Caenorhabditis elegans: one gene and its partner. The protein of the gene in region 2 purifies or fractionates together with the protein of the main gene of each other region. This does not show direct contact. Each region holds a gene or a part of one and is shown on either strand. Other genes may lie near its edges. The genes, in order: art-1 and nol-14.

Evidence for each region.
Region 1: the proteins of nol-14 (region 2) and art-1 fractionate together in Caenorhabditis elegans (co-fractionation; one large-scale study listed by BioGRID). This does not show direct contact.

The regions. Positions count from the first base shown.
Region 1 is NC_003280.10:6,970,191-6,974,117, forward strand, and holds art-1 (putative very-long-chain enoyl-CoA reductase art-1), read right to left. Parts: upstream 2,046-3,927; 5' UTR 2,045-2,045; coding exon 1,927-2,044; intron 1,883-1,926; coding exon 1,652-1,882; intron 1,608-1,651; coding exon 1,468-1,607; intron 1,178-1,467; coding exon 868-1,177; intron 814-867; coding exon 686-813; 3' UTR 555-685; downstream 1-554. Other genes in the region: C15F1.5 (RING-type domain-containing protein), read right to left, coding at 163-291, 339-395; sod-1 (Superoxide dismutase [Cu-Zn]), read right to left, coding at 2,686-2,783, 2,828-2,981, 3,026-3,184, 3,228-3,311, 3,643-3,690. UniProt on the Caenorhabditis elegans protein: Catalyzes the last of the four reactions of the long-chain fatty acids elongation cycle. This endoplasmic reticulum-bound enzymatic process, allows the addition of 2 carbons to the chain of long- and very long-chain fatty acids/VLCFAs per cycle.
Region 2 is NC_003279.8:322,005-330,064, reverse strand, and holds the start of nol-14 (Nucleolar protein 14), read right to left. Parts: upstream 6,211-8,060; 5' UTR 6,206-6,210; coding exon 6,131-6,205; intron 6,087-6,130; coding exon 5,825-6,086; intron 5,777-5,824; coding exon 5,412-5,776; intron 4,767-5,411; coding exon 4,017-4,766; intron 3,107-4,016; coding exon 2,820-3,106; intron 2,219-2,819; coding exon 2,086-2,218; intron 1-2,085. Other genes in the region: xpo-2 (Exportin-2), read left to right, coding at 6,713-6,922, 6,972-7,280, 7,677-8,060.

The DNA of each region.
Region 1 (3,927 bases), on a different chromosome or scaffold from region 2:
CAATTGAAAAATATTTCGATTCAAATTCCGTGGCAACGAGAGTTCACAAGACTACAGTACCCTTCAAAGACGCGCACCAACTTGAAATTAACGAAATTGCCGTTTCGAGACCGTATCTTTGGCGGAAAAGTCATAAAAGTTCGAATCTTTGTAATTACTAACTTCGCAAGTGCTTGTCATTGGTTCAGGAGCTGTAAGACTCGAGTAACAATGTGCAACTGGACAGACACGCATCTTTTTGGTTGATTTTTTGAGGCATTTTGTGCAGAATGTGTGCAAACAGGGAATCAACTGGAAAATTTGAATCCGTATGGCTGAGAATAATGCAATAATCTCACTTGAGTTGCTTCTTCACATGGTTTTAAATCATTGCAAACTGCACACCAAATTGACATCTTTGGATAACTTGAAATATTTCGAAATAATCTTCTTTCTACATTGAAGTCGGGAACATTTTAAATTTTCGATGTAAAAAACAATATCACGTTATTTTTATTTAAACATTTTTTCTCTTTTATTAACGCTTTTTTTTCACCAACCAAGACTTGCAACATTTTTCAAGCAAACATTTATCTGGAGAAATTGTCTATTTAATAAATTACTGATTGAAATAAGCGGATTGGTAATAATAGAACTGCAAGAGTACATGAAAAATACAATAAATATTCGGCGCAAATGCGATAATTTAGAGAACAAATGGAACGATGGCCTTGCGATTTTTTGGGTAATCTGGGAACTCCTTGAGGTAGTTGCGGTGCTTTCCTTGGGCCCAGATTGCCATTTGAGCGAATCCAGCGGTGGTGAAGATGATTGCTAAATTTTAAGATTATGAATAAAATCAATTATATTTACAAGTTTTTTATTTACCTGGAAGAGATTGGACCATAATGGAGAAGAAGATCCATGATGCGACCTCATATGTGTAGTTCGGGCACGAAACGTAGTTGAAGAGGAGAGAAAGTGGATTTCCATCAGGCTTTGGAATACGACGTTCGCGGGTTCCAGCTGGACGGAGGTTGCGGAGAAGAATGTGGATCGAGAGATTTCCAAACTCCGAAATCACGAAACCGGCAAGTCCGAAATAAACCTGAAGATCTCCGAAAGCTGGTGGTGTGAAAAGTGGGTGATTGACAAAGTAGGCGACGAAGGCAGCGAATCCCCAGTAATAGGAGCAGTTCTGAAAATTCAGGAAATAGAAATTTGTTTATCGATTAGTGAATTTTATTTTTAATCTTGTCCGTTTCAAAATTCTCTACTAAAACTACCTAAAGTTGTACGAAATATTCTAACTTTGAATTTTAGGCATATTCAACGTTTTTACTAGTTTTTTTTTGTTGCTATATTTCAGATTGAAAATTGCCGTAGAGCGTAAAATAATTTTTTCATCAACGCAACTTTTGCAACTTACTATTAGTGTCCCTTATTACTTTTTACTCAATTGTTTTTATTTTTATTTTTGAAACATGCCTTGACTAAATTGAACTGTGGCATAGTCGAGTTTCCGAATCTATGGATGAATTGAGTTTCGAACAATCTCTTGGCGTAGTGGAAGCTCCATGCAAAGAAGGCGATTTGTACTGCTGGATGCATGGTAGCATTGACAGCGGCTGTAATGTAAGATATTGTGTGAAATAATATTAATCCGGCTCACCTTGTCCATAAATGAAAGTTGGTCGAAGATAGAAAAGCGGATAAACGAACAAAGGTCCAGCATACTCAGCCATGAAGACAGTCTTCCAGGCGATTTGTGGTCCGAGATCTCTTACATATAAAACTGCTTTTTGAGATGAAAGTCCAAGATCGGAGAGTTTTTGGTCATCAGCCAATGGTTTACCCTTTGGTTCGACACGGAGAGCCTGACGTTCTTCGGTGAGTTTCAGCTCTGAAATTATTTAGCTAATAAATCATAAATTTCGATTCACAAACTTTTCTGGGCAATTCGCTTCTTGATAGCTTTGATCGTTTCGGATCCAGAAATTCCCTCGAGGGTGATGATGAGATTGTCCGTACGCTTTGCGTCATAAACCTCCAGAATCCCACTCATTCTGAAAATTGAGGTTTTATATAAACTGAAAAAAAGGAATTTTCACAAAAACTGGCTCTATTCAGAAAGAAACGAATTTTTTGCAGTCCACTATTATAAAAATGGTGTGATTTTCTTTTACGGGTCGCTATCAATTGAACTGATAAAAAAAGAAGAGAAGCATTGTGAAAATGCCAATTGAAACGAACGACCTCGAAATAAAATTTACTAAATGCATTAAAAAATAGAAATTATTATATTTTCAAAGATTTTTGTCTGCCTTAAATAAGGGAAAAGCGATAATATTTAAACGTTTTTTGAAATAGCCTCATTATCAGGTGATTCTTATTCAACTGCTCGAAAAATCGCCCTTCTCCGTCAGAACTTGTTGATAGTTTAACGGCTGGCACAACATTTATGGCAGTTTGGTAACAAAACTGAAAAGTGAAGTATTGATATAATGAGCAGAGACATTGAGATTTGTAAAACATAGAAATTGGAAACTACAACCTTTATTTGAAATTTTGAAGAAATTTTATGTGAAAATATACAGTAGTAGGAGTAGGAACAACGGGATTCTTAAGAATATAACGACAAAGCAAGAAATGAAAAATTGTCTTTAGTAGGAATTGTGTGGAGATTCAGAGACGCGATTCAGGTAGTCACTGGGGAGCAGCGAGAGCAATGACACCGCAGGCAGCACGAGCTCCGGCGTTTCCAGTCTTCTTGGACTCTTCTGCCTTGTCTCCGACTCCCTCGCCTGGAAAGTTTACTAAATTGATTTTTAATTCGAATTGTTCATACCGAGGTCGTCTTGTCCGGCATGAACAACCATAGATCGGCCAACGACAGTGTTTGGACCGTAAAGCGTGACGAGCGTGTCGGTGAGCTTGATTTTTGCCACTCCATCGGCTCCAGCTTCCACATTTCCTAGATCGCCTACGTGACGGATCTCGGACTGAAAAAATATTATAATTCAAGCGATATAAAAAATTTCCATACTTTTGGTCCACCATGAGTCTTTCCAAATGGATTGAAGTGTGGACCGGCAGAAATGCATCCGTTGGTGGAATCACCATATTGGTGAACGTGGAATCCATGAAGACCGGGAGTAAGTCCCTTGATTTCTCCTTCAATAACTGCCTGGTCATTTTCGGACTTCTGAAAAAGAATACAAATGATTTAAGCGGAAAACTCGGCTAACCTGTGTGATCCAGATAGTACCGGTAACAGTTTCTCCACGAAGAACAGCGACAGCACGGTTCGACATTTTTTGAGCGGCTTCGACCTGTAAATTCAACGAATTTTCTAGGGAACACTCTAAGGAATATCACGGCAAAAAGTTTAGAATTAGAAAAAAACAGGCAGATCACAGTCGATAGATGCAAAATTAAAAAAGAAATGGTAAACACGAGAGAGAGAGAGAGAAGGTGGAGCGAGATGAAATAGACAACATTGTGTGTGTACCCGCCTCTCGGTCGCAGAATTTTGTAGCTATGTCTCTAGTTTTTGTGGGTTTCTGATGAAAATGATGATAATTAAGGTAAAGGCAACAACACAACGCCATAGATCAAATAGGCCCAAGTTGCGAATGACGAATGTTTCGGATAAGCACTGACCTGCGGAAAAATCGCGTTGGAGACCTGAGTGAGAAGATTCATAAACATCACCGATCTAAAATACTGAATCTACAACTTTGAATAATAAAGAAACAATGGAAAGTATGATTATGACACTGATTAAAAACCACAAAACAAAAACACAGAAAAAATAAGCGGCTCACAAATTCAACGTCTCCACTCTTGAAAACTCGAAATTGAACGATTATTTCAAGAAAAAGGATTTTTAATAACTAAATTTTAATTAATTTTGAGAATCGGAAGAAAACCGGGAGTGGAGAATCG
Region 2 (8,060 bases):
AGCTTTTTTGAAAGCCAAAATTTGAATTTTTCTGAAATAAAAATAAATTTGAAAATTCGCTGAAAATTAGAATTTTTCTAATTTTTATATTTTAAATGACTAATTTCAAATTTTTTGAAATGAATTTTAATTTTTTTAAGTTTTAAAGCTTTTTGAAGCTGAAATGACCAAAATTGCTTCTAAAATTTTTTTGAAATGCTGCAGCTTCATTGCGTCCACCGAGATTTCACCGTTGAAGAGTGATTTCCCTCGATTTTTATTAGTTTTTCGTCGATTTTTCTATTTCAAAATGATAACAATTATAAAGTAGACTGAACCGAAAGTGGAGAAACAAAAATTATCGGAAACCGTTCGGTGGAAATGCATAACGAACTGTTTGAAAATAACAACTGAATTTTCGGATTTTTTAAAATTAAATTTTTATTTGTTTTTCTCATAACCTGCAATGATAACGTTTATAGAGCAAACTTTTCTCGTCATTTTAAGATATAATTCGTCTATGTACCTGTTGAAAGAACTCAGATCGAACTCTTTTTGTGAAATCCAGTTATAATTTTTCGTTAAAAAGAGGAGCTAAAAGTTATTAATCTGAATTAAAAAGAGTCGAGACAGTGAATCTAATTAATATTTGGTATTTTATTAGAGCAATACACGTATTAAACATTTTATCATGGGTTTTTCGGCTCCAATTTTGTTGGCACAATATTTTATTTCTTGCCACATACTACTGTACGTTTGGGCTCAAATAAGCCATACAAAGTGCTGAACTATGAAGAATAATGTTTCAACATTACATTACTTACAAAAAATCAGATTGAAAGCAATGTTTTCAGTCTTTCTTGGCTTTTTTCAACATAACTTAGTATTACCATCTTATTCTGTGCCTCAACTTAATCGTTACAAGTTTGAATTCTTGAGAAAACTGTATTTAAAACCTATTAAGGCTTTTCAAAACTCAAATATATAAAAACGGTATCTTCTTAAGCTTTCGTTTTTAGTTTCCAATACTTTCCTTTCAGTAAGGCTTGAAATTTTTGGAAGCTTCACTGCTAGTTTCCCACTTCACGATTTTCCAATTTCAACTTGTTAAAACTGGCAAGATCACAGAAAAAGCCACACTTCCATGATAAAATCACAGAAAATTAAAGAAATTGGGCTGAATGTCTCAGATTTAGTGATTCTGGCACATGATCATTTCTCAAAACTTCAATTCAAAAATAAAATTGTTTGTGACCAAACCTTCATTTCTTATTTGACTTTCAGGCTATATATTTAATTATATTTCTTAATTGTCTTCAAATTTTTTTGAGATTTCCCCACTTTATGTAGTGAAAACAAAGATAAACTTCTTATTTTCTCAATTTTTCAATAAATTTAACCTTTTGCAGCAAGGTATTCTCTTTTTAACTGAGAAAACTATTTTAAAAATTCATTTCATCATCTTTCCTTTGCTTTCTCAAGAAAATTTCATAGAAGAAATGAATTTTTTCCGCAAAAATAATTCAATATTCAGAAGTGCGCCAGCACGCGAAAGGCGCATCGGTGAAACGCGCAAGCAATCTCCCTCCCCCTTCGTTTCCACCCGAGGAGACCGTGTTTCCTAAAAAAAAAATTTCAAAATCGCTGAAACTTAAATTTTTTTGGCTCTCGGCAATTTTTTTTGTTTTTTTTTAACCGTTTTGTATGTGCAAAATTGATATTTAATTTGTTAAAAATAGAAAATTCGGAAAAAAACTTGATTTTCGTTTTTCAATCGGTGGTTTTTCGGTTTTTCAGAAATCTATTAAAAAATTATTTTTCGGAAAATTGCTTTTAAAAAATTTCAAGCAGTTTTATACAAGAAAAAGTGAACATTTTATCATTGGCAATTTTGTGAAAATTTAAAATTTAATTTTAAATTTTTCAAAACTAAATTTTCAAAAAAAAATCATTTTTATTTGAACAAAATTTTTAATTTATATTATAAAATTCGATTTTGCCAGTTTTTTTTTTAAATATTGAGCGTTTTTAAGCAAATTTTTTTAAAGAGAAAACCAAAAAAAAAAACCAATTTTTTGCTCAAAAAAACAAATTTTATAAATTTACCTTCTCCTCAAAGCATAACATTTCCGTGTGTGGCTTGGAAATCGGGAATCCATTTGTCGCGAATTTCTCACTTTTCTCTGTAACTGCAAGCAGAAGAGCACTTCGAGCAAATGCGACCAGCTCGGGGACGTATCTGAAATTTATTTTATTGAAAACAATTTTCAACTTTCGGATTTTTCGTAAAAATGGAGTTCGGTTTTTTTTTTAATTTCAAAATTTTGATACGCTTCGATAATTCGGTTTTTTAAATTTTTTTAAAAGAGACGAGAGATTTTTTAAAAATAGAGAAATGACCGGAAGATTTTTGAAAAATTGCAATTTTTTCTAAAAAATTAATTTAAAAAAAAACGGGATTTTTGTATTTTTTCAATGTTTTCTGATCTAAAAATTGCCAAAACAAAATTTATATCAATTTTTGAAAAATTCGCTTTTTTTTAACATTAAAATGGAAAATTAATGCAATTATTTGTTAAAAAATGAACTTCAGAAAAAAAAATCAAGTTATATTTTAAAAAATTGCTTTTTTGAATTTTTATAGTAATCTTTTTTCGATATCGAAAAAAATAGATTTTTTTAAGCGACAATTCTGAATTTTAAATTTTTTGAGTTAGCTTTTGAAAATAATATTTTTGGTGGTTTTGGCTTTTTTTTTCGTTACTTTTCCTATTTTATATCAAAGCTTTCAGTATTTTTTTCAAAATTTGCCTATTTAAATGTTCGTTTCCAAGTATTACCTCTTGGATTCAGACACATATTCAACAATAGCATTAGCCAATTGAATTTGTTTAGCCAACGCATTCAAATTGGCACATTTCGCCGAGCAAAGTGCTTCAGTTGCCAAAAAAAGAGCCGGAACCACTACAGGATGCCAGGAATCGGCAACTGGGAAGAGGCCGGAAACAAGACGAATTGCAGAGATTAATCCAAATGACACTGGGCTACTCTTCTGTTTATCCTGGCGGCCTTTCCAGTGTTGACGGATTAGAGCACGCACACATCGGACTCCGTATTGAATGTCGAACTGCAAAAAACAATTTGAAATTTTTTTCAATTGTTGAATTTTTTGCGTTTTTTAATCTGAATTTTTAATATTATTTTCTTTATTTTCAGGATTTTCCATATTTTTTTTCTGAAATTTTAATGATTTTTTATATAATGTTTCTTTAAAAATATTTCCATGATCGTTTCCTATTTTTAATGATTTTTTTCTTAAATTTTCATGATTTTCCTGGTTTTTCTTTTTTTTTTCGAGACTGATTTTCAAAAAAAAAAGGTTTTAATTTCACATGATTTTTCTCAAAAAATCGGGGCTTTTTTGCAATTTTTGGGTCAAACATTCGGGTATTTTTTTTAATTTTTTGGCCAAAGTTTTTGGAATTTATTGCAATTTTTAGGTCAAAAAATTCGGGGATTTTAAAACATTTTTTGGTAAAAAATTCGGGACTTTTTTGCAATTTTTGGGTCTAAAAATCGAGACTTTTTTGCAATTTTTCGGTCAAAAATTCGGGGATTTTAAAACATTTTTTTGTAAAAAAACCGGCTTTTTTGCAATTTTTAGGTCAAAAATTCGGGGATTTTAAAACATTTTTTGGTAAAAAATTCGGGACTTTTTTGCAATTTTTGGGTCTAAAAATCGAGACTTTTTTGCAATTTTTAGGTCAAAAATTCGGGGATTATAAAACATTTTTTGGTAAAAATATCGGGACTTTTTTGCAATTTTTGGGTCTAAATATCGAAACTTTTTTGCAATTTTTAGGTAAAAAATTCGGGGATTTTAAAACATTTTTTGGTAAAAAATCGGGACTTTTTTGCAATTTTTGGGGTATAAAAATCGGGAATTTTTCAAAATTTTAGGTCAAAAATTCTCGAATTTTTTCAATTTTCAGATTAAAAAGTGCGGTAATTTTTCAGCTTTTCCATCCAATCGCTACCTTCATCAACGCATGCATAGTTTCCTGCGCTAAATTCATTTCCTTCACACTTTCCGCTGTCAATTCCTCCTTCGACATATCATCAAACCATCTTAAACACAAGAGGAAAAGCTTATTCAGACGCTTCTTATTTCCTTCTTTAAGGCTCGGATGATGACATTTCACGAGTCGTTCCAGCACTAAATCCATCGATTCCGAGTGTTTTTCCAGAAGAGCACAGAATTTTTTATAGTTTTTCGGCATTTCGAATACGAATGGCAGAGTTTCAGCGGGTTCTGGAGCAGATTTTTTCGCTTTTTTGACGACTTTTTGGGCTTCCTGAGCTTCCTCATCATCGGAATCTTCTTCCAGCTCATCCTCATCTTCCAGTAGATCATCCAGATCCTCTTCCTCATCTTCTAGATCCTCGTCATCGTCAGATTCATCAGAACCATCCAGATTTTTCTTTAAAATCCTGGATTTTTCCACCGTATCCTCATCGATCAGGCCACCTTCATCGTCAAATTTGACCTCAAATCTCGAATTTTTCGCCTGAACTTTTCTGGCGTCGGCCTTCGATCCAGCATCGATATCAACGTCGGCATCGGCTGATAAATGAGATTTTGCGTTGAAAAATGCATTATTTTTCGAGATACGGGCGGCCTCGAGAGTTTCCAGACGTTCTTTTTCTTTCAGAGCTTCTTCTTCTTCGGATAGCTTACGATCTGCTGGGGTGGCACGAGCGTCGGCTTCGGTTTTCAAGGTGATTGTCTGGAAAAATAATAATTTTTGGATAAAAAATGGAATAAAACCTATTTTTCTTGATTTTTTAGGCGAAGAAACAAAAAAAAAGCCTTTTTCTATCATTTTTTAAACAAAAAAATTGGCTTTTTCTTAATTTTTTTGTCGAAAAATAGTTATTTTAAATTGTTTTATTTTGTAAAAAAACGACTTTTTTAAAGTTATTTTTCGGCGAAAAATTTATTTTTTTAAATTAAAAATTGCCTTTTTCGTCATTTTTGTCAAAAGAAAAACCGACTTTTCTCGAATTTTTGTCAAAAAAATTGACTTTTTAATGATTTTTCGTCAAAAAAATTCTCAGTTCAGCTCAATTTCTTTCGCGATAAGAAGTTAAATGTTTTATTTTTCACTTCAAATTGCACAAATTCCGAAATAATTTTACAGTGTTTTCTCTGATTACAAAGCTAAAACTTGGATTTCTTCAACTTTTACAGCAAAATTAATGAAAATTTCCAATTTCCATAGCAAAAATGGTTAAAAATTAGCATTTTCAGATCAAGTTTTTTGGGTTTTAGGTTTTCCACTAAAAAATTGTGAAAAAAATCGATTTTCACTCTAAATTTATAATTATCTTTTATCTTAAAAATTTGGAGAAAACCGGGATGTTTCCCGTACCAATTTGTCGTAATCATCTTTTTCCAGCGGCTGGCGCCCGGTCGGCCTAAATGAAGCCTTCATTTTGCCCATCAAAGCCTGATACTTGGAATCCAACGACTCTGTCATCAGCTCGAGCTCATCCTTCTGCTGTTGCTTCTCGTGACGCGCCAGCTTCGTTTTCGCAATCAAATTCGAAATCATATCCTCTCGGCTGATTTTTTCGCGGACGTGCTCCTCGGCGGTCTTCTCTCCACCACCGAAATGAGCCACTTTTACCATATTTGAGCCCAAATTTCCCGGCTCTTCATCGTCATCCGAGTCGGAAATCATCGATTTGTCGTATTTTTCAATGTCCGAGAGCGCTTTTCCCTTGTGAGTAAGTACTGAAATTTACTTTATTAAAATTTTTCTCAATTTATTTCGGAATAAACCTTCTTCCTCCTCATCTCCATCATCTGTCAAGTTGAATTTCGATGCTCTTTTATAATTTTTGACTCTTTCCTCTGTGAATCTCATCGCGCCCTTCTCCTCCTCGCTTTTTCCGTCCTTTTCGCCGAGCCGTTTGTCGACAATTTTGCTAATCTTATTTTTCCGGTCATATTCTACGCCTAGCGTCTGTTCACGTTGCTCGTGAGCTCGTTTTCGTGACGCAGTCGGTGCTCCAACTTGTGCGCCCTTTTTCCGGCCGAGAATCTGCGAGAAAATCGATTTTTTCTTCAAAACTCTGAAAAACTCACGTCATGCTTGGATTTGTTGAATTTTAGCTCGAATGGATTGGTTTTTCGTTGCTTTTGCTTTTTATCAACACCCATGTTTGCTGAAAATGCGAAAAATTAGGGGGGAAACAGAGAAAAAACCAGGGGTATCCAGGAAAATTTAAGAATAAAAATTGGGAAGTTTGCGCGTCAAGTCGTGCGCATTGTACGCAACGACGCCTTTATTTTGCAAAGTTTTGAAAATTGAAATGTTTTAATTTATTTTTTTATGCACGTTTTGCTGAAAAAGTGGAAAATTTGAAGAAAATCAAGGGAAAACTAGGAAAAATCAGTAAAAATCAGTGAAAACAGAGAACATAATGAAAAAAATTTGCGCGTCGGGTCGGGTGCGCTGTACGCAAACACTTCACACTTTTGAAATTTTTTTTTTATTTTTGCGAATTTTTGCGAGTTTATTCCCCGCGGGCCTGCGAAAAATTGCGTAAAACTTTAATATTTTGACCGGAAATTTTAGATTTCAAGTTTTAAGCTAAACTATCTTTGTCCTTTCACCTAATTCTTCCCTATTTCACCCCCAAAACAGCTATTTTTCCCTATTTTCAGATGGAGCAAATCGGAGCAGCTCTCCAGCAGACTCTGGAGCCGGATGCTGCGATTCGCAAGCGTGGAGAAGAAGCGCTCCGCTCGCTGCAATCAAATCCAGGCTATATCATTCAAATTCTTCAACTGGTGGTCAACGAACAGCAACAAATTGCTCCGCAGATCCGAATCGCCGCGGCTGTCGCTTTGAAAAATTTTGTGAAGAGAAATTGGGTTGGAAAATTTGAATAAATGCGTGAATTTTATATTTAAATTGTTTCAGGGCCCGGCACCAGAGGTAGAAATGGGCCAGGAAGACGAGGAGCAGTTCAGAAGCATGCTTCTCGAAGCGATGTTCAATACAAAATCAAATGTTCAGGAAATCCTGTCCAATGCTCTGTATCTCATCGCTCAGAGAGATTTTCCCGAAAAATGGCCAGATTTGGTTCCATATTTGTCGAAATTCCTGAACGGAGCGGATCTCAATCACCTGGTGGCCTCGCTGGCGTCGATGGAGCAGATTTTCCGCAAATTCCGATTCGAATCCAAGTCAGCAGAGCTTTGGAAAGAGCTGAAGAAGTGTCTACTGAGCGTGAGTTGCGTTTTGGCTCAAAATTTGGCTAATTTCAGCTAAAATCCCCAATTTTGGCCACTTTTTTACGTCGCAGCCGTCGGAAGTTGAATTTTTGTCCGCTTTGACCCTAAAAAATGACCAAAATTAGACATTTAAGCTAGCTAAAGCTGGCCTTGTTTTCCGAAAAATCGTGAAAAATTCAACATTTTATGATTTTTTAGTCAAAAATTTTAACTAAAGCAAAAATGAGGAATTTTTGGCGAAAATTGATAATTTTCCTATAAAAATGGACAAATTTTCAAAATTTTTGAGCCAAAAAATTGAAGAAATCTGAATGTCAGTCTCGAATTTGGACCGAAAAACTGTTTTCTCCCCAGATTTTTCAGTTACAAATAAAAAGAACCGATTTTTCAGACCCAAGAGCCTCTAACTCTGTTGCTACGGAACATGATGGAGGTGGGACAGCGGAAGGATCAACTCGGAGCCGACGAGATCGCCCAATGGCTCCGAGTCTTACTTCTCATTGCAAAAGTCTACCATTCTCTGTGCTCACAGGAGATTCCGGAATACTTCGAGGATCATCTCAAGGACTGGATGCCACACTTCTTGCATCTCGTGCAAATCGACGCGCCGACGCAGACCTCCAACTCGGGAGAACCTACAACTCTGGACGAGCTTAAGCACGAGATCTGTGAGATCTTCACGCTCTACTCGCAACGCTACGAGGAGGAGATCTCCGAGTTCGTGCCCGACATCATCCTTGCCGTCTGGAATCTGCTCAAGTCTACCGGCCCCGAC